Linked DNA regions of Astyanax mexicanus. The protein of the gene in region 3 purifies or fractionates together with the protein of the main gene of each other region. This does not show direct contact. Links are inferred from orthologs where the notes say so. Each region holds a gene or a part of one and is shown on either strand. Other genes may lie near its edges.

Evidence for each region.
Region 1: the proteins of anapc1 (region 3) and anapc7 fractionate together in Homo sapiens (co-fractionation; 6 studies listed by BioGRID and IntAct, with this or other methods). This does not show direct contact. The link is inferred for Astyanax mexicanus from reciprocal best matches to the Homo sapiens genes ANAPC1 and ANAPC7.
Region 2: the proteins of anapc1 (region 3) and cdc26 purify together in Homo sapiens (co-immunoprecipitation; 6 studies listed by BioGRID and IntAct, with this or other methods). This does not show direct contact. The link is inferred for Astyanax mexicanus from reciprocal best matches to the Homo sapiens genes ANAPC1 and CDC26.
Region 4: the proteins of anapc1 (region 3) and cdc27 purify together in Homo sapiens (affinity purification with mass spectrometry; 16 studies listed by BioGRID and IntAct, with this or other methods). This does not show direct contact. The link is inferred for Astyanax mexicanus from reciprocal best matches to the Homo sapiens genes ANAPC1 and CDC27.

What each region holds. Positions count from the first base shown.
Region 1 is NC_064419.1:1,302,016-1,308,936, reverse strand, and holds the start of anapc7 (anaphase-promoting complex subunit 7), read left to right. Parts: upstream 1-3,913; 5' UTR 3,914-4,031; coding exon 4,032-4,132; intron 4,133-4,949; coding exon 4,950-5,136; intron 5,137-5,932; coding exon 5,933-6,052; intron 6,053-6,136; coding exon 6,137-6,248; intron 6,249-6,913; coding exon 6,914-6,921. Other genes in the region: proline-rich protein HaeIII subfamily 1-like, read left to right, coding at 1-164, 267-439. UniProt on the Homo sapiens protein: Component of the anaphase promoting complex/cyclosome (APC/C), a cell cycle-regulated E3 ubiquitin ligase that controls progression through mitosis and the G1 phase of the cell cycle.
Region 2 is NC_064408.1:18,604,770-18,612,527, forward strand, and holds cdc26 (anaphase-promoting complex subunit CDC26), read right to left. Parts: upstream 3,019-7,758; 5' UTR 2,566-3,018; coding exon 2,485-2,565; intron 834-2,484; coding exon 651-833; 3' UTR 455-650; downstream 1-454. Other genes in the region: prpf4 (U4/U6 small nuclear ribonucleoprotein Prp4), read left to right, coding at 4,871-5,033, 7,466-7,652. UniProt on the Homo sapiens protein: Component of the anaphase promoting complex/cyclosome (APC/C), a cell cycle-regulated E3 ubiquitin ligase that controls progression through mitosis and the G1 phase of the cell cycle.
Region 3 is NC_064414.1:12,395,340-12,403,061, forward strand, and holds the start of anapc1 (anaphase-promoting complex subunit 1), read left to right. Parts: upstream 1-4,713; 5' UTR 4,714-5,084; coding exon 5,085-5,297; intron 5,298-7,042; coding exon 7,043-7,204; intron 7,205-7,722. UniProt on the Homo sapiens protein: Component of the anaphase promoting complex/cyclosome (APC/C), a cell cycle-regulated E3 ubiquitin ligase that controls progression through mitosis and the G1 phase of the cell cycle.
Region 4 is NC_064410.1:15,205,333-15,212,309, reverse strand, and holds the start of cdc27 (cell division cycle protein 27 homolog), read left to right. Parts: upstream 1-3,973; 5' UTR 3,974-4,129; coding exon 4,130-4,156; intron 4,157-6,350; coding exon 6,351-6,426; intron 6,427-6,977. UniProt on the Homo sapiens protein: Component of the anaphase promoting complex/cyclosome (APC/C), a cell cycle-regulated E3 ubiquitin ligase that controls progression through mitosis and the G1 phase of the cell cycle.

The DNA.
Region 1 (6,921 bases), on a different chromosome or scaffold from region 3:
TCCTCAGGGTTCAAGACCCTCATCTGGGTGGAGACCCTCATCTGGGTGGAGACCCTCATCTGGGTGGAGACCTCCTCTTCTGCGTCGAGGTCCTCCTCCTCCTTTGGGTCGAGATCCTCCTCCTCCTCTGGGTCGAGATCCTCCTCCTCCTCTGGGTCGAGAACCTCCTCCTCCTCCGGGTCGAGAACCTCCTCCTCCTCTGGGTCGAGAACCTCCTCCTCCTCCTCTGGGTCGAGAACCTCCTCCTCCTCCTCTGGGTCGAGAACCTCCTCCTCCTCTGGGTCGAGAACCTCCTCCTCCTCTGGGTCGAGAACCTCCTCCTCCTCTGGGTCGAGAACCTCCTCTGCCTCCGGGTCGAGATCTTCCTCCTCTGGGTCGAGAACCTCCTCTGTTAACAAGATTTATGTTGGACGTTTTAATGAGGAACTCGATGCGATAAGACTTCTTCATCTGGACATGCTGTTATGACTCTTTTCTCAGGCTCTGTGGACACACTGTCTCTAGAGCGCCCCCTGCCTGTGACACAGTGACATCAGTTTCTGTGGAAATAAATGGCTTTGAATTGTGAAGACGTCAAAAACAAGAAGTTTGAACAATAAACGTGGAGTTTTTTATACATGGAACAATACGTGGAAAACAATGCACATGGACGACTGTTTACTAAGAACTTTAGAAGTTTAGAAGGAGTGTTTTTATGAGTGTTTGTTTATTTACAGTCGCTGTTTTCACAGCTTTCAGCATTTGGCACTAGGTCTTGGTATCTGCAGGCAGTGGTTGTTACTTATTGTTATTATTATTAATAATAGTACTATTATTATTATTATTATGAACCAAATGCTTTCGATCATTTCAACCAGTTTAGCACTTTCCTGGGATTTTAACCAGGGCCTTTTCCTTATCATGGAGATTTCTGTTGCCCCTGTTGCTGAGATAACACCAGTTACCTGGACTGGTTTACCTGGATTACGCTGGTTTGCTGGTTTTGTCCTCTTTCTCTTGTCATTCTTCCTGTTCAATGTTGTGTGTATGAATGACCCATTGATGAAACACACCTCCAACCAAGTCTTCCAACCGTATTTATTAAAATTGCTTTTTTCAGGAAAAAGATTGTGTTTTTGAGTCGGTCCTCTGATGTAAAGTGTGTAGTTTAATGCCATTAAATATCCATCATAGCAAATGTACTGTAGAAACACATTCATATGATTGACTGTTTTATAAAGCTCTGGAAAAAATGAAGAGACCACTTTAGTTTCTGAATCAGTTTTTTTTAATGCATCTTGGCATCATGTTCTCCTCCACCAGTCTTACACACTGCTTTTGGATAACTTTATGCTGCTTTACTCCTGGTGTAAAAATTCAAGCAGTTCAGTTTGGTGGTTTGATGGTTTGTGATCATCCATCTTCCTCTTGATTATATTCCAGAGGTTTTTAATTTAGTAAAATCAAAGAAACTCATCATTTTAAGTGCTCTCTTCATTTTTTCCAGAGCTGTATATGTTGTATATGTATGTTACACTTCTGAAGTCCATTTTTTGTTATTTAACTACAACAGAGCTCACACACAACCTGATACCAAGTGCCTAAAGCTGTTGAACTGGTGGCGTGATTTGTGTTCTTTATTTTTATATAATATAAGTCTTCTCCTTTTGTTTATTGTGGTGGTGTTTTTTATACGGATTTTATATTAAGGACACTTTCGGAGAGATTTATTCTCCCTTTCTCTAAACGGTATGAAAGTGCTGGGATTAAATAGTGGTTACAACAAATAAATAAAAATGACCTAAGTAAGGTCTGAGTCTGAAACTAAATGAATAAAAGAATCGGTACAATGGCAGGAGACTAATTTGTTACTAGAAATGATGTTACAGTGCTGGTTTCCTTTCAAACAGGGCTTAGGCTTAGTCCTGAACTATATACAGCTTTGTAAAAAATAAAATAAAAATAAGAGAGCACTTAAAAATGATGAGTTTCTTTGATTTTACCAAATTGAAAACCTCTGGAATATAATCAAGAGGAAGATGGATGATCACAAACCACCAAACCACCAAACTGAACTGCTTGAAGCAGTGTGTAAGACTGGTGGAGGAGAAGAAGGAGAACATGATGCCAAGATGCATACAAAAAAACAATGTTCATTTTACTCAAACATAAACCTATAAATAGTAAAATCAGAGAAACTGATTCAGAAACTGATGTGATCTCTTCATTTTTTACAGAGCTTTATATTTTTCTGGTTAATGGAAAAAATTCATTCAAATGCTGTGTAGTTCAAGGTCCCAGTAAATAATCAATGCAACTGATGCACTATATGTTTAAAATTGTTGGGACACCTGTTTGTTTTATTGTTTTTACCTGAATCGAGGGTATTAAAATTTAGTTTATACTGCTTTTGCTGGACTAACTGTCTCGGGAAGACGTTCTAATTTGATGGATGATCACCACCATATGTCTGACTATATGATATCACAATAATAATACATTGTCCACAATAACAATGATTTCACAATACTGTGTTTCTGCGATACTCAGTACATTGCAATACAATTCTCTATGATACTTCACAGCATCTGTGTTACTGAATAGGAAAAAATACTCCTAAAAATAAGTAAATACCGGGAATTATGGATTTTTTGGTGTTTCAGTTTCACAGAATTTCACAACCAGTATTCTTCACACAGGATTATTAACCCTATTCATTTGATTATAGCTCCACCATGTGGAATTAAGAAGTAATGATGACTTTAGGAACTGGAGGGGGCAAGTGAAAGTAAAAATAAAAAAGTGTTCATTTAAGTTAGTGTGTGTGTGGTGTAGTGGATAACACCACCACCTGCCAATGAGCTACCATGTGGAAGACTCGGGTTCAATTCCAGGTTTGGGTAACTGAATGCTGCGCTACACTAATGGGAGTCTTGCCCAAGGACTCTTATTGGCCCAAATCCGTAATAGAATTAACCTTGTTAAGCTCTATCCGGATGGGATTAGTTTCTCAGGGGGACGTCTGTGAAAAATATTTCAAAACTCCTGCACCTGTACTGCAATTGAAAAAACAGGAGGATCAGTGAGTTTTTAGGCTAAATTACCCAGAACCTCCTGAGAAACTAATTCCGTCCAGATAGGGCTTAAGTCGCTCTAGATAAGAGCATCAGCTAAATGCCATAAATGTAATGTATTATACATGTAATAAGTTTCGATAAAAAAAAAATATTTTTCTGCAAATATTTGAAATATTTGACCTCACATATTCATATTGTATCCTTTTTAAAAATTATATAAATGAAAGCATGGCTGAAAAGAAGGAGTAAACAGAGTTTATACTGCCGGCTGGAGGTGAGTACACACATACACAGCTCTGGAAAATATAAGAGAGCACTTATAAATGATGAGTTTCTTTGATTTTACCAAATTAAAAACCTCTGGAATAAAATCAAGAGGAAGATGGATGATCACAAACCATCAAACCACCAAACTGAACTGCTTGAATTTTTACACCAGGAGTAAAGCAGCATAAAGTTATCCAAAAGCAGTGTGTAAGACTGGTGGAGGAGAACATGATGCCAAGATGTATGATTTAAAAACTGATTAAAAACCACCACGGTTATTCCACCAAATATTGATTTCTGAACTCTTAAAACTTTATGAATATGAACTTGTTTTCTTTGCATTATTTTTTTTATGTCCGCAAATAAATGCTCTAAATTACAATATTTTTACTGATTCAGAAACGGAAGTGAAGGGGTCTCAATGTATCATTATTATTATTATTATTATTATTATTATTATTATTATTAATAATAATATTATAAACACGTGCAATAAGCTATGAGCTACATGTAAATAAATAATGTAAGTTATATTAAACACTGGGCTACCAGACTGTGGGGACTTTTATTTTGAAATGTAACTGCGCAACACTTCCCTTCCATTTTGAAATTGTCGCTTTTGATCTGCGTTGTGTTTCTCAGCGCTGCGGATTAAACTCTGATTATTTCTGATCAGTTTTATCAGTTTTATCAGTTAATCAGCTGAAGATGAGTGTTATTGATTATGTTCGGGACATGGCGGCCGCCGGCCTTTACTCTAATGTCCGGATCCTGAGCAGCCTTCTGCTGACCATGAGCTCCAACAACCCGTGAGTACAAATACCCAAATACCTAAATAATATTAATATCACCTTAATCTAACTAACTAACTAACTAAATAAATAACTAATTAACTAACTATACTAAATAAATAACTAACCTGCTGCTGACCATGAGCGCCAACAACCCGTGAGTACAAATACCCAAATATCTATCTAAATTACAAAATAACTCAATAACTAAATACATAAATACCTACATAACTAAGTATATAACTAACTAACTAACTAACTAACCTGCTGCTGACCATGAGCTCCAACATCCCGTGAGTACAAATTACCAAATACCTCAATAAATAACTAAATACTTAAATAACTAAATTAAATACCTAAATATCTGCTGACCATGAGCTCCAACAACCCGAAAGTCTGAACTTACCTTAAACTAAATAACTAACTACATAACTAACTAACTAACTAACTACATAACCCATGGGTGTTACCTCACCTCAACCTAAATAACTAACTAAATACATACCTAAATAACCAGATACCCGAATACTAATCTACCTGTTCATCACCTGTTATGTAGTACACCAGTGACGACTTTCTTCTTCAGGACATTTTAAACTGTTGTTCTGACTATGTCTGATATTTGTGTGATGGTTCTTAATTTGTGTTTCTTCATCTTCTCTCAGCTTCATAGTTGGTAGTTTTTCACCCATATAGACAATCTCTGTTTTGTGTTTGAAACTGAATGTAGATATTCAGGTATCAGAACACGGTTCTGTTTTCTGAACTGTATCAGATCTAGATGTAAATATCTGTAAATGTAATATAATAAAATGTAATGTTCTTGTTCCTACAGGGAGCTCTTTTCTCCGGCTCAGAAGTATCAGCTGCTGGTGTATCACGCTGATTCCATCTTCCATGATAAGGAGTACAGAAACGCAGCCTGCAAATACAACATGGCCCTGCAGCAGAAGAAAGTGCTGAGCAAAGCCTCTAAAGTGAGACCGTCCAGCAGCGGCGGCTCGTCCTCCGTACAGACTCAGGTCAGACCTCAGCTCCCGTAGTGATGTAATGATACACTGCTTTATTTAACATACTGAGACTTTTTTATATTGAGTATCTGATAAAATTAAGGAAAAGGACATTTTTGGTTTCAAAATTCTATACCAAAAGGCCACCAAACTAAATGTCTGATGCTTGTATGTGTGTGATGTACCCGTCTACTCTTGCCTGATTGGTTAGATCCAATGTGGCCGCTATTGCTCATTTGAATAAAGTTGATCTCTATGAAAAGTGAAAATGAACCTGATGTAAGAATATAAAAAAAAAATAAAAAAAAGAAAAGTACAGTTAAAAAAAGGAGGCTTTAATGGAAAAAAAATATTTTATAGATTATGATATACACCTAAAAATGAAAATATAGAACTGACAAAGTGTGTCCATTATTTTTTGTAAAAAAAAAAAAAAAAAAAAAAAGTACTCCGGTGCTCCTGTTTCAGGCTGTTTTAGTTCAGTGGAGGAGTGGGCGAGGAAGAAAGGTAGCATTTTCAGCTTTTATTTATGAGTATATTCATTCCATGCAAATGCCTTGCCTCTGATTGGCTAACAAGGCCATGAATCCTTAGTTACAGGTTGATGTCAGTCCGGGGGCTTTTCCCAATTCACTTGTTTTTCTATTTGTTTGTTTTTTTTTAATCGGTTAATGCAGACAATAAGAGTAGAAGAACAGTTTCATGTTTAACTCAGTGACCTACTGTATTTTAAAAAAGATCAATTACTACGTGCTTTCTAGTGAAATTAAATCTTTAAGTATTTAATGTGTTTATTAATATTTTACAGAATTTGCCCTCAGAGATTGAGGTGAAGTATAAGATAGCGGAGTGCTACACCATTCTGAAGCTGGATAAAGACGCTATCTCCGTGCTGGATGGGATTCCCTCCAGGCAGAGAACCCCCAAGGTGTCTTCTCTTTCTATTGATCTCTGATTGGTTGTTTTTTTGTGAGAGTGATTTCTATTTGTATATTTAATCTGATCCCAACAGATTAACATGATGCTGGCGAATCTGTACCGGAAGGCGGGTCAGGAGCGCTCAGCTGTTACGAGCTACAAGGAGGTTCTGCGTCAGTGTCCTCTCGCTCTCGATGCCATTATTGGTGAGTAATATTGCTAATAAAATATTAACACTAATTTATACAAATTTAAGCCAAAAAAATGGATTGATTTTGAGAAATGTTACTAAGAAAAGTTTGCGTCTCTGTGCTTCTCTCTCTGCTTCTTTCTTTGTCTCTCTGTTCATCTTTATTTGTGTCTCTCTTTGCGTCTCTCTGTTTGTCTCTCTCTTTTCGTCTCTCTCTTCATCTTCCTTTGCTTCTCTCTGTGTTCCTGTCTCTGTGCTTCTGTTTGTCTCTCTGTTCGTCTCTCTGTTCGTCATTATTTGCGTCTTTCTGTTTGTCTCTGTGCGTCTCTCTGTTTGTCTCTGTGCGTCTCTCTGTTTGTCTCTGTGCGTCTTTCTGTTTGTCTCTGTGCATCTCTCTGTTTGTCTCTATGCTTCACTCTGTTTTTCTCTGTGTGTCTCTCTGTTTGTCTCTGTGCGTCTCTCTGTTTGTCTCTATGCGTCTCTCTGTTTGTCTCTATGCTTCACTCTGTTTGTCTCTGTGCGTCTCTCTGTTTGTCTCTGTGCGTCTCTCTGTTTGTCTCTCATTATTTGCATCTTTCTGTGTGACTCTGTTAATCTGTTCGTCTTTCTTTGTGTCTCTATGTGCGTCTCTCTCTGTTTGTCTCTCTCTGTGCGTCTCTGTGCTTGTCTCTGTGTTTGCAGGGCTGCTG
Region 2 (7,758 bases), on a different chromosome or scaffold from region 3:
AAACCATTATTGTTTTCTTAAACCAATGCACAAAATCATTTGAAGCGCCTTTCGTTTTAAGAGTGTGGTTATTAATATGTGTCAGTAAGCAGATAAAGACTGAATAGAAGTGACTAAACCTATGTTTACATCATCATCGAATAACTGGGATATTCTAAAGTAATGTAATCAGAACAGTATCTGGTATAAATCTGTTTGTCTCAAGTGTAGAATCAATGTTATAATGTTTACAGGTCAAACATACCTGCATAGTCTGAAATACAGTACTGTAATTAATTATATAAATGATAATGAAATGTGATTAAAAGCATGATGTGACTTCTGATTCCCTGTCTTGTATTTAAAACCTGATAAATCAGAATAGATTAAGATATGAAAAAGCCTGATAGATCAGAACAGATTATGTGTACTTTTAAGTTTTATAAAAAAAAAAAATAAAAAAAAGCAGATGACATTTTAGAAAATAGAGGGAGATTTTATTGATCTCTAACAAATAAGAGAATGCTTGCAAAAATAAGCAAGGAAACAACTTTGCCTGGTTAGTCCTTAAAATGCAGTGGTTATGACTTTGATCCTCTTCTCAGCCCATAGCAAAACAGGTTACTTTAAAGTCATAATGGCACTGTTGCACACTTTACACAGTCCTCCGCTCAAAACTGAAGGTTTCCAAATAATGATGGTAGAGTGTTTGGCTTTGGGTGAGGTTTGTATCCGATTCGCTCGTGGATCATCTGCTCTCTGGTCTTGCCCTCAGCACCTCCTGAAGCACCGCTCATCTCACTTGATGTTGGAACTCCAACCACATCCACTTCATCTCGCTGTTTCTTCCGACTCTAAAAACGATAAAAAATAAAAAAATAAATAATGTAAAGTGACTTTACAGTATCTGAGACAGACATTTATCACAAATCATTTTAGCTTAAAATGCCACAAGTCCTACCAACATTTTAGTTGTGTTATATATCCAGACATATCCTATAAATCCAGACATTCTGACTAGTCATATCAGGTCAACAAATCCAAGTGTAATTTTGACTAGTCATGTGTTTCTATTGATTTACATAAAATTTCATTGTCAGAATTTCAACATTATCCGATTAGCCCTTTAGGCAATGTTAAATAAATGTTTATTTAATGATTGTTTTTGCTATCAGGGATTTTCAGAATGGTTTATGCCAAATTTTATAGTAGTTATCTCAGCTGATATTTTTAATATTATTATATATATCCAGATCATATCATATATATGTAAATATTTTAGGGCTAAAACATTGATTTAACGTAAATGACGCCAACAATTTCATAACCTGCAGTTTTGACAGTTTGTTCTAGAAACCAGGCCAGAACTAGTGATATGGAATGTAAAAAACTTTAAAGCATTTTTATTCTTAAACTGTTAAAACAGAGCTGTAGAAGCAAAAAAAAACTTTTAGAATGTGTTACTTTTATGTCCAGCATTAGGCCAATGGACGAACACATATTTATACCCTCTCAGGATGAAAAGAAAAATGGGTAGGTTCAGACAAAATGTGCTATCTTCTGAAGTGTGTATCAGATTCATATATAATAATAATATAAAGTTTTTTTCCAAACCAGCAATTTCAAATAGTTAGGTTAGGTTAGGTCTCCTTCCTCTAAAATCCACTTTTTCTAGTTTTTGGTGAAATACAATAGGTCTCTCTGAGTTGTATATGCATGCTGCACAAGAAACTCTTCCTCAACCTCCATCTGTAGTAGCTAATAAAAGAAAATATTCAGAAAAACGAGTCGATCAGGAAAAGCACCCATGTCTACATCAATCTCGTCAGATAGGACGTAACAGAGCTAGAAACAGCATTGCAGTTTGTTCCTGTGTTATTTGTGCAAATATCACATCAGTGTTATATGCTTTGCCCAGTAATTCAGAGCTAAGGAACAAATGGTTAGAATTTGTCTATGGAACATTACCAGCAAAGTACAATTGAGATAGGTAGGTGTATTTTTATAACAGTTCTGTTTACACTTGCTTCAACTTCCTCTCTGCTGCGGGGTGGATTGTTACTTTCTGGACCTGGACTACCCACCTCTGTTTGTTTACGTAGGTTTACATAGGCTCTCTGGTGGGTCAGTGGCTGAACTGCACTTAGCACGGCATTATACATGTTGTAAAGTAACATATGACATTGCAAAGACTGTTATTAGAGTAAAAATGTTTTTATTTTAAAACGTTTCTAACTGTTGTCCGCCTCCTGGTCTCGCAGTGCTGTTAGCCAATTAAAGGCGATATGTTTGCATGTATGAATATTCATAAAATCCTATCGTTTCTCCGTTCAGCGCCTCCACAGGACTAAAGCATGGTTATAACAGATCACCGGAGCACTTTTTTTCTCAAAACCAGCTCACGTGGCATTCATTCATACTATAGGCCACAACCAGACATTTTACAATTTATTAAAAAACGATGGAATGAGACCTTTAATTAATTAATAGAGTTGATTAACTGACCTCAAGCTCCTTCTTCACTCCTTCAAACTCCTCGGTATCGTCCAGCTTCAGCTCCAGTCGTGTTGGTTTTCGGCGAAGCATGATTTTAGGAGGCTGGGTAGCTAATACTGCAGTTAACAGCTATGTATAGAACTGAAATACACTGTTTATCGATATTTCACAGCTGTTTCCGCTGTAAAACCACGGTTCAGCACAGCGCTGGTTATAAGCTGTCACCGAGACAGCAGAAAAAACGTCATTTTCAACAAAATATTATGGAGAAATGACTTTTTAAAGAGCTAAGTTAAAGCTAGCTTAATATAGTAAACAGGTCCAGTATGATAATGCTGCTGTGTTTCTAACAGCACGTTATTTACCCATAAAGGCGTTTACTACTGGATCTATAGCTGTTATATAGCTAGCGTTAGCAGTGTCGAGAACAGCCCCGACTTAATATCGAATTTAGAGTATAAATATCGATATATACATTTAACGCCAAGCAAGCAAGTTGGCGGTTGTTGCCTTGTCTGCCGGAAGTTGGTAACTACTCTAGCTAAGGGTTTCTGGGAAATGTAGTTCCGTTTTGTATTTTTTTTTCCATAAAGGCTAGAATATAATAACATTACATTAACATTTTTATTTTCCTTTTAACATTTTTATTTTCCTACTATTATTATTATTATTATTATTATTATTATTATTATTATTATTATTATTATTAATAATAATATTATTATATAATGCAAAATAATGCAAAGATGTTCATAATAATAAAGTTTTAAGAGTTTAGAAATAAAAAGTTTTTAATCACAGTTTTCATGCATTTTGGCATAATAAAAGACCACTTAAAAAGCCATCAAACCAAGCTGAACGGCTTGCAATTTAGCACCAGCAGTGACATAAAGTTATCCAAAATCAGTGTGTAAGACTGGTGAAGAAGAACATGCCAAGATTTTTTTTTATATAATATTTATTTAAATTATTTAAATTTTATTTATTAAAATTATAAGATTTTCGGGGTTTTCCATCCGCTATTGATTTCTAAACTTAAAACCTTATAAACTTGTTTTCTTTGCCATATTTGAGATCTGAAAGCTGAAAACATATTTATAAAATCCCCGCTTCAGTCCTCCAGATCCAGTCTCCGGTAGGTAGATGTCGCTGCGGCGAGCAGCGCTGCTTTTCTCCGTTCAAAGCTGTGACGAGTTCCTGCGCGCCGCTCAGATCGTGGTGGTTGTGTCGGAGTGGGCAGTGTGGGACTATGAACCACAACTTTACTTCAGATTCTGATTTAAATAAGCTGTAAAAAGCCTCTTCGTTTCCTGGACGCTGTGTAGTTTCAGTAGAAGGGCTCGTAAACTCAAAAACAGCTGGATTAAAGTGTTTTCTCGGGCAGGTTGGTGCTGATTTGGTCTTGAATTGTCTGCACTGGTGCCTTTTTAGTAACGTTACTGTAGCTGTAGCGCCTGTGTTCGTTTGAGTTGTGCTATCTTGTAAAAACGTGCTACTCTAGGGTTTATTTAAAGGTAAAAATACAAAAAGCACCATGTTAGAACATGCAGCCGGCAGTGTAGGTAAAGTAGTTATTGTGGTAGCCTAAATCACTGTATCAAGGAAGATTCAAGACAATAAAATTTTAGTTGTTAATTATTATTATTATTATTATTGTTATTGTTATTATTATTATTATTATAGTGAGCGAGCTTAGGTTGTTTATCCAATATATAAAAAAAAACATTTATTTTGTAAAACATTGCACATATAAACATAAACACCTGATGGACATTAGACTTCATTTTCATATTCATTCTTTGTGCATTGCCAATTTGTTTAGTCCCTGTAAGATAGGGCATTTATTTATCTAAAATACTTTATTCTGTTAAGATTATTCATATTCTCTATAACTATTTTGATAATTATTAAATATATTACTACTGTATAGTTATTTATAATACTTATTTATTGTTTAATGTGATTGGGTGCTCCAATACGTTATAAAGAGTATTTAACTCTGTTAATAAAGCTGCTTATATAGAACAGCTGGTAAGACAAGTAGTCGACAAGTCTAGGTAGGATATGTGGATAGATGTTTGGATCACTGTAAATATATAGGATAATGACATAGTTTTTTCATAATTTATATTAAAATCTCAATTAACACTTAAACAATAAGAGTGAGTTTAGATTGTATAACACCAATGGAAAACAGAATTATCATGAAACACAATAAAAATGGAAAAAGTGAATCAGCGCAAGCGCAGAGCTGCTAGTTAGTGAATATTGATGGTTGGCATAAAATAGAACATTCATTCTTATGGAGCCCCTGTAAGTTAAACCCAGTTTAAACCTTTTAAAACCTTTTTTCTTTCAAACAGGTGGTGCTGAACTCAGTTGAGCCCCTTGAAAGATGTCTGATGAAGATGAAGCCCCTCTGGTAAAAAGGTCTCGGATCTTCTATGGAAGTCTTGAAGAAAAGGAGAGGGAGCGTCTTGGCCGTGAGGGATCCTCAGGCTCTGGGAAAGATGCTATTAAAGCTGGAATTGAGGCTGGAAATATTAACATCTCCAGTGGTAAGACCTTGCAGAGCTGCTTGAAAATATTTATTTAAATGTAACTCATTAACTCACTATAATGTTTTAAGATGGAGACACTGTGGTAAAATGTTTTATAGTTTAAAAGGTATGAGATTCATAAAGAATACACAAGAGCAACAACATCCAGTGGATTTTTATCATCAATTAGAGCAAGTAATAGAGAGAGAAACCAATACCACAGATATTCAACCAAACATTATTTCAGATTACCAAAAGCTAAAACTAACTACATGTGCAAAACAGTAATTTATAGAGCTATTAAAGAGTGGAATTATTTACCAGAATCATTAACTAAAACTGATAGCAAAACACAGTTTAAAAAACGAGTGAACAAAACATTATCTAACTAATATTAAAGACAGTAAATCCTAACTATTAAATTGAACAGTGGAGGAAGTTGTGCAAGGGAAAATCAGGATTGAATAGAGGTGATGAGGTGTCTAGGACACACTAGATTATTATTTCTTTGTTTGTTAGTTTTCTGTGTAACTATTTTGTGTAGTTAATATTCACTTTTTATGTATATATATATGGAAATGTGAACATTCTTTTGTACGTGTGTGTGTGTGTGTAAAACAAATAAAACACTAGAAAATCTTCTGCCCAGCAAACTAGGGCTGGACCCGAATATTCGGGTATTCGGATATTCGTTCGTTGAGTAGGTATTCGGTTTTTAATTTTGGTATTCGGATATTCGTTTTTTTCCTCCTTTCCAGAGTTCCACCTCACTCTAACCACTTCTGTTCTCGCGGGTCCCGTCAGAATATCTTGCGCGCGGGACAGAACTGAACTGTTATTGGCTGGAGCGGGAGTTTAATCCAGACGATGCGGGAGCAAATTAATAAATAAAGTAAATTTTAAGCATTAAATGTAGTTTATTTAATTTATATTAGGAACGTGGGGCGGGAGCGGCAGAAATGTGTATGTGGCGGGCGGGCGCGGGATTAAAAGAAGCAATTTTTTTGCGGAGCGGTAACGAGACAGAAACGCGGGAGCGTGGAAGAGTGGGTTTAAAAATCAGTCTCGCACAGACCTCTATTATACATGATAAAAAAAAATGCAGGCTCTTCGAAACTGATTTATATAATAAAACGTAAGGGGTAATGTGGCAACAGTAGGGGCTAAATCGGTTACAAAAGCCTGGCCTACAAAAATGATGTCTGAACGAATTTCCTCTTATCTAATATAATTTAAAATGGTTTAAAAATATAAAATAATTTCTAAGCAAACGAAATATTTAATATTGAGCTTATAGCCCAAGTGCAAAAATACAAAATCAGTAATATGCCCTGCACAATGCTTAAACCGAAATAGACCAAGTACAATAACGTCATTAACAATGACTTTCCTCTACTCTAATATAATTTAACATGGTTTAAAAATATAAAATAATTTCTAAACAAACGAAATATTTAATATTGAGCTTATAGCCCAAGTGCAAAAATACAAAATCAGTAATATGCCCTGCACAATCCTTTAACCGAAATAGACCAAGTACAGTTTACAATGACTGTCCTCTAATATAATTAACAATGTTTAAGAATATAAAATACTTCCTGAACAAACGTTTTTTTTGTTTGTTTTTTTAAGCAAATAGCCTAAGTGTGAAAACACAAACAGCAATTTACTGGGCTGGCTTGCGCAGCGGAGAAACCGTGCAGCAGCAGCCTCCTAGCCTGCTTACGCAGCGGATAAGCCGCGGTGTGGGGCAGCAGAAATTCCGGGATGAAAACACAAAGAAATCTGGGCTAAAAACACAGAAAAAATATGGGGTGAAAACACAAAAATCCGGGATAAAAACACCAAAAATCCGGGGTGAATATGTCTCGTCAGTCAGAGCAAATTGAACATTTTTCAGTGGATTAAAGGGGCCGTGATTTGCTTTTTTTATTTTTATTTTTTTTACCTCTTTTTTTAAAAACGAATATTCGAATATTCGCTTCGAATCAGTGCCGAATATCCGGAGCTCAAAAAACGCTATTCGGGCCAGCCCTACAGCAAACACACAGTGCTGTCTGCTTTCTTACAGTGTTGCTATAACGCAGTCAGAAGGTCTTTCTGGTTTTCTGGTTTTGTTCAAAAACTTCATTATTAAGTAATGTTGCCATATGATATTAAAATGACATGTTGGCAACTTAGGTAAAATTCTATGGAATTTCATTCACAAATATGTCCTGTTAGGTTTAAATTATATTTGTCTGGTTTCCTATGATAGTTCTTTTTTACCTAAGGAAAATAATCAGTTGGTGTTGCTTAGATATGATAATATCTAAATATATACTAACATGTATATATTTGAGAAATATGTCAAATGGTATATGAAGTCAGTAATGCTTTTCCAGTTTTCTGTCTGTTTATTCATTCTCATCTTATTTCCAATAAGTGCAATTTGTGGGTTTATTTTCCAGGTGAGTCATTGGAGATCGAGGATCGTGTGAATGAGAGGCAGGCGGAGGTCTTGGCTGAATTTGAGCGCAGAAAAAGAGCCCGGCAGATTACAGTCTCTACTGATGATGCTGAAGTCAAAGCTTGCCTGCGTGCTCTGGGAGAACCGATTACACTGTTTGGCGAGGGCCCTGCTGAGAGACGAGAGAGGTGAGTTCACAGTGCATCAATACTACTATCAATCATTACAATTGAGTCTAGTTTGCCTGTGCACTGGCTGTCTCTTTAATTTAATTCTCCATCTAATTAGTTAATC
Region 3 (7,722 bases):
TCACGATGCGCTGGAGGGTCCTGCGGCAGGATGCTGTGCAGGCCCCGTACCACACGGTGAAACAGCTGGTCAGTATGCTCTCGATGGCCCCTCTGTAGAAGGGGGTCATGATGGGGGTGGGGGCTCCAGCTCTTCTCAGCTTGCGGAGAAAGTAGAGACGCTGATTTGCCTTCCTGGCCAGTGACGCTGAGTTGGTGCTCCAGGAGAGGTCCTCAAAGATTGTTGTGTTTGCACCAGGAGGCCAGGCGGCTCACCTCGATCCTGTAGTGTGACTCATCGTTGTTGCTGATGAGACCCAACACCGTCGTGTCATCCGCAAACTTGACAGAGGTTGGAGGTGTGTGCTGGTGTGCAATCGTGGGTCAGCAGAGTGAACAGAAGGGGGCTCAGCACACATCCTTGGGGAGCCCCTGTGTTCAGTGTGGTGATGCTGGATGTGCTGCTGCCAACCCGCACTGCCTGTGGTCTTCCAGTCAGGAAGTCTAACAGCCAGCTGCACAGTGAAGTGCTCAGCCCCAGACTGTCCAGTTTGTCTATGAGCTGTTGGGGGACGATTGTGTTGAATGCTGAGCTGAAGTCAACAAACAGCATTCTGACGTAGGTGTTCTTCTTGTCTAGGTGTGTGAGGGCAGTGAACAGTGGAGATGGCATCATTGGTCGAGCGATTTGACCGATAAGCAAACTGGTAGGGGTCCAGGGAGGGGGGGAGCAAAGACTTGATGTGATGCATGACTAGTCGTTCGAAGCACTTCATGAGGATGGGGGTGAGTGCAACTGGACGAAAGTCATTGAAACATGATGGCGATGCCTTCTTTGGGAACGGGATGATGGTGGTGGCTTTGAAGCATGTGGGAACCACCGCCTGACTCAGAGAGGTGTTATAAATGTCAGTATAAACCTCTGCGAGTTCCCAGGCACAGTCTCTCAGCACACGGCCAGGAATGTTGTCAGGCCCAGGAGCTTTCCGAGCATTGATCCTGCTGAATGCTCTCCTCACACTGTCTGGGGACAGCGTCAGCACCTGGTCACCAGGAGGAAGGATGGATTTCTGGGCGGGTGTGTTGTTGAGTGGCTCGAACCTTGCGAAGAACCCATTCAGGTCGTTCAGCAGAGATGTGTCGCTGTCGCAGGTCTGTGGATGTGGTTTATAGCCTGTGATAGACTGGATACCCTGCCACAGGTTCTGTGTGTCTCTGCTGTCACTGAAGTGTTGGGAAATCTTCTTTGAGTACAAAGGTGTAAGGTATTAGGTGTAAAAAACGCTATATAAATAGATTTTCCTAATAAAATTTCCTCCAACAGTCCAGAGTTAAAAGTGGATTGATAAGTGTGATGAGCAAAGTAGAAGAAAACAGAGATAAATGTAGAAGCTGAGAAGTAAAAAAAAGCAAAGAAACAAAGCTAGCATCAAGGCAAGACAGAGCAGACCAGAGTGGCAGAGCACAGAAACTCCACCCAGAAAGGGAGTTGAACCCAAGACCCCAACACTGGGAGTAAAACATTTTAAACACTAAGCCACTATGCCACACTAATCTCTGACCGTTTCTCAATCTGCATTCTTGTCTGTGCTTGTGTTCTTTTCTTGTGGACTCGTGAAATGTCATCAGTCGCAGCCCAAGTACTGTTCCAATTAAAAGATCGCAGTTAGCCAAGTACACAACAAATACTCGGATGTGTTCTTGCTCCTACCACTCTATCTAGGATGCATGGAAGGTGACTTGTTAGCACTTCTCACAGCCCGATATCCCAGAATGCACCTCGCAGGAGTATCAGCGTATTGGCGGAGGAGAAGGTACATAACTGAAAGCACCTCTACGTTTTTAAAATAGTACTGCTGTGTGCTAAATAATGTTTTAAGTTATTTTTAGGTGAGAATGTAGGGGTTTAGATTTGTATGTAGATATGTAGTTTATTTATTAAGAAAGCTGCGAGGTGAAAATTTGCTCCTACATTTTTGGAACAACGCTTTCCGCTCCTCTAAGGGTTGACGTCATCAAGTACACAGCTGTTCCAATTACACAACAACCGTCCTGCTTCCTCCTGTCCTCGAAAGTACGCACTTGCGAGTTGATCTTCCAAAGTCTGTACTTGCCAAGTACGGGAGTCCAGACTTGTGTACTTGTGCATTGAGAAACTGCTTCTGCCTACCGAGGGCTGAGACACTCGATCTGACTGGTGGTCAGCCACTTGCTAGACTTACATTGGATTTTTCATCAGGCACATCAAACATAAAGTACAAAATACGTAATAATAAGAGACCTGATAAAAATAAACAAGGTCAGATTTAATTGACAGAACATTTCCGCACCCTGAGTCATCATGCTGTTCACTGCTGCCCTGCTGTTTCTGGACTGGGAGAACCAAAACGGATTTTTACTTAAACTGAGGAATCGTGACTCTTCTTCGTCCCCTCAGACACCTGCTATATCACTCAGTGACGCAGACTGATCTGAGCACAACCAAATCATACTCTCTCTCTCTTTTTCACACACACATGCATGAATAACACCCTGTATTGCAATTAAAGAACATGTTATATACTAAATTGCTTTAGAGATCAATTTGCAGCTGTCTCAAAGCCCACTGACACTCATTAAGTATCACTCAAGGGCTAAACTGTGACTTACTAACCATAAATCCTGTGCTGGTCCACAGGGTTATTCATGGTTTTTCTGACCTGTTGTAGATCAACCTCTTCTGTGGTTGCTGTTAAAACAAGGTAACTGATTACATAGTAATACTGTGTGTGAGCCTGAAGGAACAACAGTGCAGAGTTGAGATGTGGCTCTTCGGAAAGGCCATTCTAAAAGCTTAATATTAAAGTCTGATTAATTCTCTCCACAACCACTTTTCATGTGTGTTTGGGATAATAGTATTGTTGAAACATCCAATTGTATCCTGTTTCCACCAGTCTAGCTGATAATCTAAGGTTATTCAGAAGAACCTGGAGGTAGTCCTCTTTCTTCAAAATTCCATACACTTTTAAATTAGCAGCACAGCTGTCCCAAAGAAAGGTGCCACATCACCATGCTTATTCTACTTATTCAAACCCATTTCCTTTTACCTGAGGGGGATAAACAGCTTTTTTGAGACCCAGACAAAGTGGCCAGCTGTTAGCATTGCAGCTAACTCACGCCAGCCTGGTTGCTAGGTAGGTGTATTTATATTTTTTACTTTTAATCTTGTGTTGATTAGAAAACTCACATAATTCAAACATGTGCACCAAAGTATGTTTTTATTATTAAAGATATTGTACACGTATTGTGTGCCAGAGCAATAACAGTTGCAAGTATTCCTTAAAAATGCTCACCATTGCTGTGACATCCATGTTCAGTGATTGTACCAGTCAAAAGTTTTGGTACACATTTGTATTTAATGTTTTTATTTTTTTCTTAGGTCATCCAGATAAAGGAACACATAAATAATCATGTAGTAAACTTGTAGAAAAAAAACAAAATACTCTGCTATCTGATGGTTATTCTTGGTCTTCCTTTTCTTGAGCGATCCTAATGATAGCCAGTTTCATTAAGCTGTTAAGTGAAAGCCATTCCAGGTGACTACCTCAAAAAGCTACCCAGCTGACATTTCAACATTGAATCCATGTTGATGTTGAATCATGGTGTTGATATGGTGTTGATTTTGCAAAGTGAATCAATGTTGATATGGCAACGTTGTTTCAACGTCATATGTTCAACCTTAGATAAACCATAGCTCACATTCGGGATGCTCAAAGTTGTATGAAAGGGAAAAAAACTGTATGCCATGATGAAAAATTAACAATTTTATTTTTATTCTCCCTCTCTCTGGATATACATCTATGAGAAGTAGCAATTACTACAAGTAGCTAAAACTAGAAAATCATATTGTTAACAGTGTTCACAATAAACTTACATCACTGTGCTAAAGCTGGGTATAAAAGAATGTTTACCAATCTGATTCAACATTTAATCTCAAAAACACAACAGTAAAACAAATAGAACATGAACATACCTCCAAATACGGTGAATAATTGGTGGCAAATTAAAAAGCAATTACTGCAAATGTAAGTAAAAACACTTTTTCATCCCTATATTTAACCATTTTTTAAAACTGTATGCTGATTAAATGAAAAATGTTAATTGAAAAGGCAGAAGGTTGAGGACATTATGTTAAGTCAACGTTAAAAATTCAACATTTGCACTACCATTTAACGTCTGTTGAAGCAACAACAGACATTTCTTCCACCATATTTCAACCTCAGTGCCAGCTAGGTCACTGAGAAAATGCCAAGATGTGCAAAGCTGTCATCTAAGCAAAAGGTTCTAGTTTGCAAGATCTAAAATACAAAACATATTCTGGTTTGTTTGACATTTCATTGTTTACTAGATAATTCCAGATGTTTTACTTCATAGTTTTAGTGACTTTACTATAAATCTACAATGCAGAACATTTTAAAATACAGAAAAAAACACTGAATTTAATGCGTGTCCAAACTTTTGGGTGGTAACGTTACTGTACCTGTTGAGGAGATATTGATCAGTTAGTTAGCTATCACCGGTTGTGTGAAGAAGAGAAAAGTAACAGGAGTAGAATGTGTTTCTGGTCGCTGTGTGGATCTGTAGATATATAAATCATGTGTTTAGGAATATCTGATTTATATAATATGCGCTATCACCGTGAGGCTCGTGTTGAGATCAGCGGGACTGCGGCGGACGCTGTGATTGGCCGCACTCGCAGCGCGAGTATCACGGGAAAGCAAGATGTCCGCGTGCGTTTGAAAATGTGTGTTTACTGGTTTGCTGCAGTTTAGCGGTGGTTTTAGACAGTTTGCGCCCTGTGCTTCACTCTCCGCGCGCTGCAACGGCGGGAGACCCGGCTGGAGAAGAGGAGGGAGCTCAGAGAGAGGAGCCGGACTGTTGTTTATTAGCGGGCTTGCTGAAGAAAATGGTTTGGTAGCTCCGCTGCTAATGCTAGCTTAGCTTAGCTTAGCCTAGCCCAACTTAGCCTAGCCCGCTGCCGCTGTGAGGCCGGGCGCGTAGAGCCGCTGAGGTCCGCCGCTGCTGTTTTAATGTCTGTGGGAGAAATAATGCTGATACTGGGAACTCATGTCGAACGTGTATGAAGAGAGAGCCGCAATGATAGCCGCCGGGGAACTGCAGCCGTTTGTCCCGTTCGGTCGTGAGCACTGCAAGAACCACCCGAACGCCGTGAACCTCCAGCTGCGCCAGCTGCAGCCCGCCTCAGAGCTCTGGTCCTCGGATGGAGCGGCCGGACTCGTGGGGTCCCTCCAGGAGGTCAGCCTCCAGGAGCGCCAGAAGGTACACTACAGTAGGCTGTACACTAAAGTACAGTACACAACACTGCGCTGGAGTACACTGTGTTACACTAAAGTATAGTACACAACACTGCGCTGGAGTACACTACATTACAATAAAGTACAGTACACAACACTGCGCTGGAGTACACTGTGTTACGCTAAAGTACAGTACACAACACTACATTGGAGTACACTATATTACACTAAAGTACAGTACACAACACTGCGCTGGAGTAGACTACATTACACTAAAGTATAGTACACAACACTGCGCTGGAGTACACTGTGTTTCACTAAAGTACAGTACACAACACTGCGCTGGAGTACACTACATTACACTAAAGTATAGTACACAACACTGCGCTGGAGTACACTGTGTTACACTAAAGTACAGTACACAACACTGCGCTGGAGTACACTACATTACACTAAAGTACAGTACACAACACTGCTGGAGTACACTACATTACACTAAAGTACAGTACACAACACTGCGCTGGAGTACACTACATTACACTGAAGTACAGTACACAACACTGTGCTGGAGTACACTACATTACACTGAAGTACAGTACACAACACTGTGCTGGAGTACACTATATTACACTAAAGTACAGTACACAACACTGCACTGGAGTACACTATATTACACTAAAGTACAGTACACAACACTGCACTGGAGTACACTACATTACACTAAAGTATAGTACACAACACTGTGCTGGAGTACACTACATTACACTAAAGTACAGTACACAACACTGTGCTGAAATACACTGCATTACACTAAAGGACAGTACGCTACCTTACATTACACTAAAGAACAGTACACCACTGCACCACAGACAACTTTAATACTCTAAGCACACTACATTACACATATTGCTTAACGACACTGCACTACAGTACAGTGCACTTTACTACACTACAGTACTACAGTACAGTAAACTATGCAGATTGCCTAACTACAGTAGACTACAGTACACTGCACTACACTACAGAGTACACTACATTACAGAGCAGCATGCAGGTTGTTTAACTACACTACAGTAGACAAAGTACACTGCACTAGACTACAGTACAGTACGCTACAGTAAAGTACTCAATATGCTTGAGTGGACTACGTTACATTAATGACAGAATTGTATACAGTATACATGAGGGGAATTTAGAACCGGTATGCATTTTTCACATGCCGCCATGCCGCTAGAGGCGCTGCAGGGTGCTGTGTAGAACAGTGCCGGCAAAAAAGCACCCTAGCAGAGCTCGCTAGCTAGGGCTAACCATTTAGCATAACAAGCTAACACCGCTCAGTGAGGTCGCACACTGTCCTGACTGGAGCTTCTGCTGTTGCTGATTACAATATGAGTAACTTAAGCCCTGTTTAAATATATTAATACTGTAACTTGAAGGATAAAAATGCACAGTGAACTGAAAGTAGAAGTAAAATTGTGATAAACTAATAAGCAGCTGCTTAAATACTTTAATGCCTCTAATGGCTTTTATATAATAATATAGTTTTATTTGATATTAAACTTGTGTATAACTATATATTATAATATATATATATATATATATATATTATTATTATTATTATTATTATATATTATAACTATATATAATAATAATATAAAAACGTGATATATTGTAAAACCATCAAAATCTTGCAAAATACTTTGATGTGCATTTTAGCAGGGGTGAAATTTGGACAGTATCCATTGTTTTAAAATTTTCTTTACTTTTCAGGAATCTTGGCAGCTTAGGAAGGGTTCCACCATCACAACTGATGAAGCTGAATATGAAGAGGAGCTGTACGTGGCAGGACATATGGTTATCTGGAGTCGGGGGAGCAAGAGTCAAGCATCCAATGTGTATAAAGCTTTTACAGTGGACAGTCTAGTGCAGCAGGTATTGCCAATATTCATAGACTTTTTTGAGTAATTTCCCTTATAATAAGAGCAATAAATAGCAAGAATAATACAAGAACAATAGTAATAATAATAAGCATCTTTCTTAATTAAAACAATATTTGCAAAGATTACAGAGAAGAAGAAATAAAATCAAATTGAAATAGCTAGCAGCTAATAAACTGTTATTAGCAGTTAAGATATAAAATTGCTATATAGTCATGCTTTAAATACAGTGGTATGAAAAAGTTTGGGCACCCCTGATACTTTTCATTATATTCATTAGCAATTTCAGTTAAATATGTCATATAGCAGATAAACACAGTGAAATTTGAAAGGTGAAATGAAGGATTTGCAGAAAGTGTGCAATATATATATATATATATATATATATATATACACACGTGTATGTATATATATATATATATATATATATACGTATATATATATATATATATATATATATATATATATATATATATATATATATATATATATATACACCCACGTGTGTATATA
Region 4 (6,977 bases), on a different chromosome or scaffold from region 3:
TATTAGTGGGAATTTGTAAAATAAAAATAAAGTATATTAAGGAAATGTATTAATTTTAACATAAATCACAGTCGCACCACATGACATTTTGTAAGGCCAAGGCCAATTCTAAATGAAAATACACTAAAATCACTCAATCTAAAATTTTAATATGAGTTGGTGTTCACAACATTTAAAATTTTGGAACAATTGCAACAGATATTACAGATATACTTATTGTTAGAATTTTAAAATTGGCATGTTGAAAATCCTTATACATCATTGACCCATATATAAATTTTTACAGACATTTTAATCTCATTTGAACCATAGTGCTAAGGCCTCACTTATAAAACTCTGTGTAAATTTTGAAGAGAATGTGTGCGCATGCACAAAAAACAGGAAATGGCATGTGTATGTATACCTGAGCGCTGTTTCCTCTTTGTAAATTATAAATGTGCGCAGGTGACCCAGTCTCATGTTCTGCCTCTATACCGCCCACATTTACCAATAAAAGGTCCATGCAAATCCTTCAATGAATATTTAAAGTGGGATTTCCCATTCATACTGAGTGGGACAATAGCAAGATTTTGGAGACTGTAAAGTAGAAGTCCTTGTGTCGGAGGTCGAGGTGGGGAAGAATGTGTTAATTGATGCTTTTAGCCAACATGTAGCTGCAGCAGTTAATAATGTAGCTCAACAAGCCAAACTATTAGAGAGGTTAGAAGAAAGTGTTCAGATACAAAAATGCTGCTTCACCTGCACATATTTTCCAATAGTTGTAAAAAAAACCTGTAAATGTACATTTATTCCATGATCCATTGGTCTCTATAAATCTGTGCCCAACTTAGCACACAGTTCCTCGAGAATGGCTCCTTGAAACCTAAATCGGCTCTTTAATCAGCAATCATCATTCACAAAAAAATCTATTTGTAGAGCTGTTATTTTTTTTGCAATTAGGTACAGCTGTTTATGCTCGTAATTATCTGCAACTGCAACCCAAAACATTTTTCTCTTTCTTTATTATGGATTATAATTTGTTATAATAATAATAAAATTGTGATAATAATAATTATAATAGTAATAATACATTTGAATACTGATACTTTAGATACATCTCCTTTGAATTTTAAAATTGTGAGATAAAACAAAACAGATAATACAAATAAAATTGAAATACATTACAGCGTGAAATACACAAGTTAGTGCAAAAAATAATACTTCATATAAAGCAGAATAAGATACAGCAAACATTGAAACATTATACATGCAGACAAAAATATATTTAAACAAATATGGGTTAATCCTGCTTAATCTTTCGTTCTTAGTCTTGATTTATGCGGTATGAACTTAGTATGCATGAGGGTAGTTTGCGCATTTACTTGCTATTTACTTACCACATGATGTCACTAATTCCCGCTCTCTTTGCAATCTTCTAAAGGAATACGGACGCCTTAAACCTTGCTGAAATGTACGCTCGTTTTCACGGCAAGTATTTCTTTATAAATCACAGCAAGCGTGAGATGTTGTGCACGCACATTTAATATCACGTGATGTATTATAAATGTATTAGAGATCAGGGGCCTCATGTACTAAAGGTGCGTACGCACAAAAACATTGCGTACGCCATATTTCACGCTCACGGTCTGATGTACTAAATTTGACTTGAACGTGTGAAAGTGCGTTCCCCCACGGAAGTTTTGTTTTGGGCGTACGCCTTTTTTTTGTGCGTATGTATTGTGTTTTTGTCATTTGGCGACACTTAGAGGCGATGCATTGAAATTACAACTATTAAGATATCCTTTATGCACACATTGAAGTAAGCATTATTGGGTAAAATAAAGTAAATTAATCAGACAGTTTCATTGTCTTACAGAAATAATCGTTTAACGTGTTTCCACTTAGCCTAGATCAGGTTTGCGCTGGAGTTGTTGGAGATGCAGCGTTGGCATTACTGGAAAATACTGCTAATGGCCGAATTCATTGAGCGCGCATTTTCCGTGATCATTATGTTTTTTTGGCCCATGATGATGACTGGCTTATAAGCAGTTTTAGATTTCCAAGAGCATAAGAAAACAAGCTGAGTACGTGACGTGTGTCTTTTTGGTAGGCAACTCATTTAAAGCATTTAAATGAAAGCATTTATCTTAGAATAATAAAACTTAAAACATGGGTAATTATACGCTATGCGTATATAATATTATTATTATTATTATTATTATTAATAATAATATTATTATTAATAATAATAATAATAATAATAATAATAATAATAATAATAATAATAATATAACATTATACTCTGCGTAATTGAGGGAGGAGTCGTGGCAAGTGTGCTGCTTTCGTGCATTTGCGCTTGATTTCAAGTTGATTGTGATGTACTAAGAGAAAGTACGTGGAATTCTGCCTACGCACGGTTTGATAAATCATTTATCAAACCGTGCGTAGGCAGAATCCCACGTACGCAAGTGTCGCAAGACGCGTAGCGTAATAACTAATAATTACCCATGTTTTAAATGTATCATTCTAGGATGGATAATAAATGCTTTCATTTAAATGAGTTGCTCACCAAGAAGCCACCCATCACGCACTCAGCTTGTTTTCTTATCCTCTTATGCTCTTGGAAATCTGAAACGGTTTATAAGTCAGAAATGGTCACGAAAAATGCGCTCTCAATGAATTCGGCCATTAGCAATATTTTCCAATAATGCCAACGCTGCCATCTCCAACAACTCCAGCGCAACATTTTATGCATGTTTATATAATCTAGGCTAAGTGGAAACACGTTAAACGATTATTTCAGTAAGTGAATGAAATTGTCTGATTTAATTTATTTTATTTTACCCAAATAATGCTTAATACAATGTGTGCATAAAGGATGTCTTAATAGTTGTAATTTCAGTGCATCGCCTCTAAGTGTCGCCAAATGACAAAAACACAATACATACGCACAAAAAAATATTATTTATTATTATTTAATTTATTTTGTCTATTATTTTTTTTAACCTTTAATTAATAATAATTGTGGTGTTCGTTTAGTCCTCTATTTCTTTAATTGTGTTTATATTATTTTATTATATTTTTTATGTATCTCTTTAGCCTCTCTGCATATCCTTTATTCTGAGTTTATTTTATTTCTTCTTAATTGAAACTTACATTGTTTTCTTGTTTTATAATTTAAACTTATTTTTCAGTCCCTTTAAATTTGTAAATGCTTGGCTGCATTAAAAATGAGGGTTAGCCTTAATGTATGACAGAGTGGAAAAAAATGTTGATTGATTGATTGATAGATGGAATACATGCCAGTGTGCAGTATGATATTAGAAATTCAATGGGCTGCCATCGGCTTTCACACGCTGTGTAAATATATAGTACAGAGCTATTTACTTTTTTGTTTTCTTAATGTTTACCCCCTCCGATTGTTCCCTACTTACAAAACTTGTCAACATTGTGTTTGTTTTATATTTTCTAGCACAAGTGTCACAAATGTGTGAATCAAACCCAACTATTTGTACATGATTCTGGATGATTTTCCATGATATTTAAAATAAAGGCAAATTATTATTTTGACAGCCACATCCGATTTCTGCACTAATTTATACATTATATGGTTAATAAAATACATGAAACAATATACAGAATATAAGACAAAAGAAAAAATATATATTGACATTATTTTCACTTAATTAATATGTTTAGTGTTTGGGCACATGACTAATTGGCAATTAAGGAATTAAAACATTAACGTTACTTTTACTTCTAATATACTTCTAAAAAGATTATTAACCATTTAACTCAAAACATTTGATTTAAGTATTAAGACTATTTTGTTACTTATTTATTTTATTTTAATTGCATAAGTGCAACTTATCCGGGCTTTACAATACTGGAAGGCACTCATTAGAAGGTGTGTCCACAAACATTTGGACATGTGTATTAATGGCATGCATAGGAGCTCGTTGTTTTCCGGCAGTTCTCGGCTCTTTCCGTGGCAGGCGAGTTTGAATCGGCGGTGTTCGGTGGCCGATAACGGTCAGTGCTGTTCAAATCTGACGCTGTTAGCATTTAGCTTCTCCCCGGCTAACATACAGAGACCGGAGCGGAGAGGGAGCGCGGAGGGGCAGTCCAGGAGGCCGGCCAAAGCGACGGAATGACGGTGTTGCAGGAACCTGTACAGGTATTCAGCCACAGATTTAGGCCGCTGTGTGTAACCCGGAGCGGCGGGGAGAGTTTCACCCATAAGCCAAACTCACAACTTTACTCGGGGTGATTTTGAGCTCCTGGCTTCGGCCTGTTCGGCGCTCTGCTCCTCAAACCGCAGGGCTGTTCTCTGTCTGACAGGATTCTAAACAAACGCACCCCTGAATCCTACAGGGTGGAACAGACGGGATATTACCGTGATTTAAACACCTGAAATGCAGAGTATTTTAACGCTAAACCTGCTGTTTTCGGTCTCTCTGGTGCTGGAAAGCGGGGCTAAAGTTAGCCTGTATGCTAGCGGGTTCGTTCTTTCCTCTTGGTTAGCTAACGTTAGCTTAGGTTAGCTGGCTAGTTACCCCTCAGAGCTCTCGGGTCTGCTGTCTGTATAATTATTGCTAAAGATTGTGTTTAAGTTATGAAGTTTACTGACGAGCGTCTGGCCGTTTACAAGTTGTCAGGATCGGCCGCTGCGTGCAGTGTTAGTAGCTAGGAGTATCCCATGTTAGCAAGGCGAGCTAGCCTGTTATTTAGCTAGCTAGTAATGTTACTGTGTTTAATCACCTAGCTCACAAATTACTCTTTACTGCTGGGATTTGTCATGCTCCTTTCTCGTATAGCTGTCATGTCACCTAAATAAACAAGAGCCACTGTATAGTTAATAATGCCGGGCTATCCGCAGAGCTGCTTACCTACTATAACAGTTCATATTGTCTTCATGTCTGTTACCTACCCAGTTAGTCCTCCAGCTGCTCAGTTTATTAGCTCAGCTTGCGTATGTGTCTTAACGTTTATTTTAAATGTTAGGTGAATGGTTTAAAACCAGCTACACCATATTAGATGAGCACATGCATTTAACATAACCTGGAGATACTTATTAGTCCGTTGCTATTTTTTTACGTGTTTCTAGTTAGCTAGTTGCACATCAGCTGAGACGTTGCGCTTCACTATCTCTGGCAGCCCCTTATTTGATTTTCTTTTCAGGGTATATGTAATTAAACTCTTTAATACCTCGGTCCCAGCTGCCACTTAGCAACTGGCACTACTTCATCTTACTGATATTGTGCCATTTTAGCTTGTTTTTTTACCACTGTCAAATAAATAAACATAATAAATAATTGTGGGCTGCATTTTAATATAAAATCCTGACACCTTTTTATCGACAAATTTCTTTGTTTAAAAAAAAAAAAATCAGTCTGTGTTGCTGCCAAGTCACAGTCTTGTTTATTTTGTTTATGCCTGTTAATCAATACCCCCAGCTGCCAGTTTGGCTTTTATGTGCACCTTAAAACAGAGCAAATATTACGTAAATATTTTAACCATACTTGTGCATCTAAAAAATAGACTATTATTGAAAAGTTACTTTATTCCAGTAATTTAGCTCACAATGTGAAACTCATATTACACAGATGCATTACTCAAAGTGCTCTATTTTAAGCGTTTATTTATTTTATTGTTGATGATTATGGCTTGCAGCCAAAATAAAATTTTAATGATAAGTCCTATTGGAAAATAAAATCCTCATATCCATAAAAGTTGTCAGCAGAGGGAAGCGAGCTGTAAGATTTTCTGGAAAAACACTGCACTGACTTTGGAATTGATATAACCTAATGGATCAACACCAGTAGATGACGTGACTCTCCAAACCATCACTGACTGTGAAAACTTTACACGAGACCTCAAGCAGCTTGCACTGTGTGCTCCTCCACTCTTCCTCCAGACTCTTGTCCATTGATTTCAAAATGAAATGCAAAATTTACGGATGGTCAGTGATGGTTTGGAGTGACTCTCTGGTCCAAATGTTTGTGTAAAAAGGTTAGTCTGGACCAACAAGGTGGATGTCAAAGCACTGATAGTCTCTGACCCTATTAGACCCTATCTCTAAACCTATAGTTTACTAGGTTAGATGTTCGCAAATGCTTGCTAGGTTGATGTTCTAGTCCACTGTCTTTGTAAATGTTATCTCTAATTTAAGAGACCTAGGTCTAGTAGATCTGGGACACTTAGAAACTAACGTTTGCCATGTCTTAAGCTGACACTATGCCATTCCGTCACCACTGGGATTTCAGTAAAACTAACATTGATTTGGCGTGCAGTTTGGTTTCATATAATCCACAACCTCTTGCTTTGACCTTTTGTAATATATTTATGTCTGCTGTGTTGTTTGTCTATAGGCTGCTGTCTGGCACGCTTTAAACCACTATGCCTACAGAGATGCTGTATTTCTGGCAGAGAGGCTCTATGCTGAAGGTAGGGTTCAAAATCTTTTCAATGATGACACATAATCAGTAGTACTAAACATTAATTTCCATTATGTCCTGTAGATCATACACCAGTGTTACTGTCTTGTTAATCTTTTGCTTAAAAAAAGAAAAAAAAATAACATGGAAATATATAATATAATCTGTATAGCCAAGATTGGAGTAGTTTTGTTTGTATCAAGCATCTCCTAGAGCGTGACTCAATTGCGATAACATTGTTGAAATTAGCTATAACGTACATTCTCCTGTTTTTCTCCTAATTTAGCTTGGCCAATTGTTCCACTACTCAGCTATATATCCCACATCACAAGTGATTCCAAAACACAAATAGGGTGAAGACTAGCAGACATCTCCAACACGTGAAGTCATCCATCGCCTCTTTTCTAACTGCTGCTAATGTAGCATTGCCGGTGGTCGACTACACATGTGTTTGAGGAGGCGTGTGCTAGCTACATGACCGGGATTCAAACCAGCAATCTCCCAATCATAGTGGCAGCGCTTTAGACCGCTGGAACACTTGGCGACCCTAAAGGGAATATA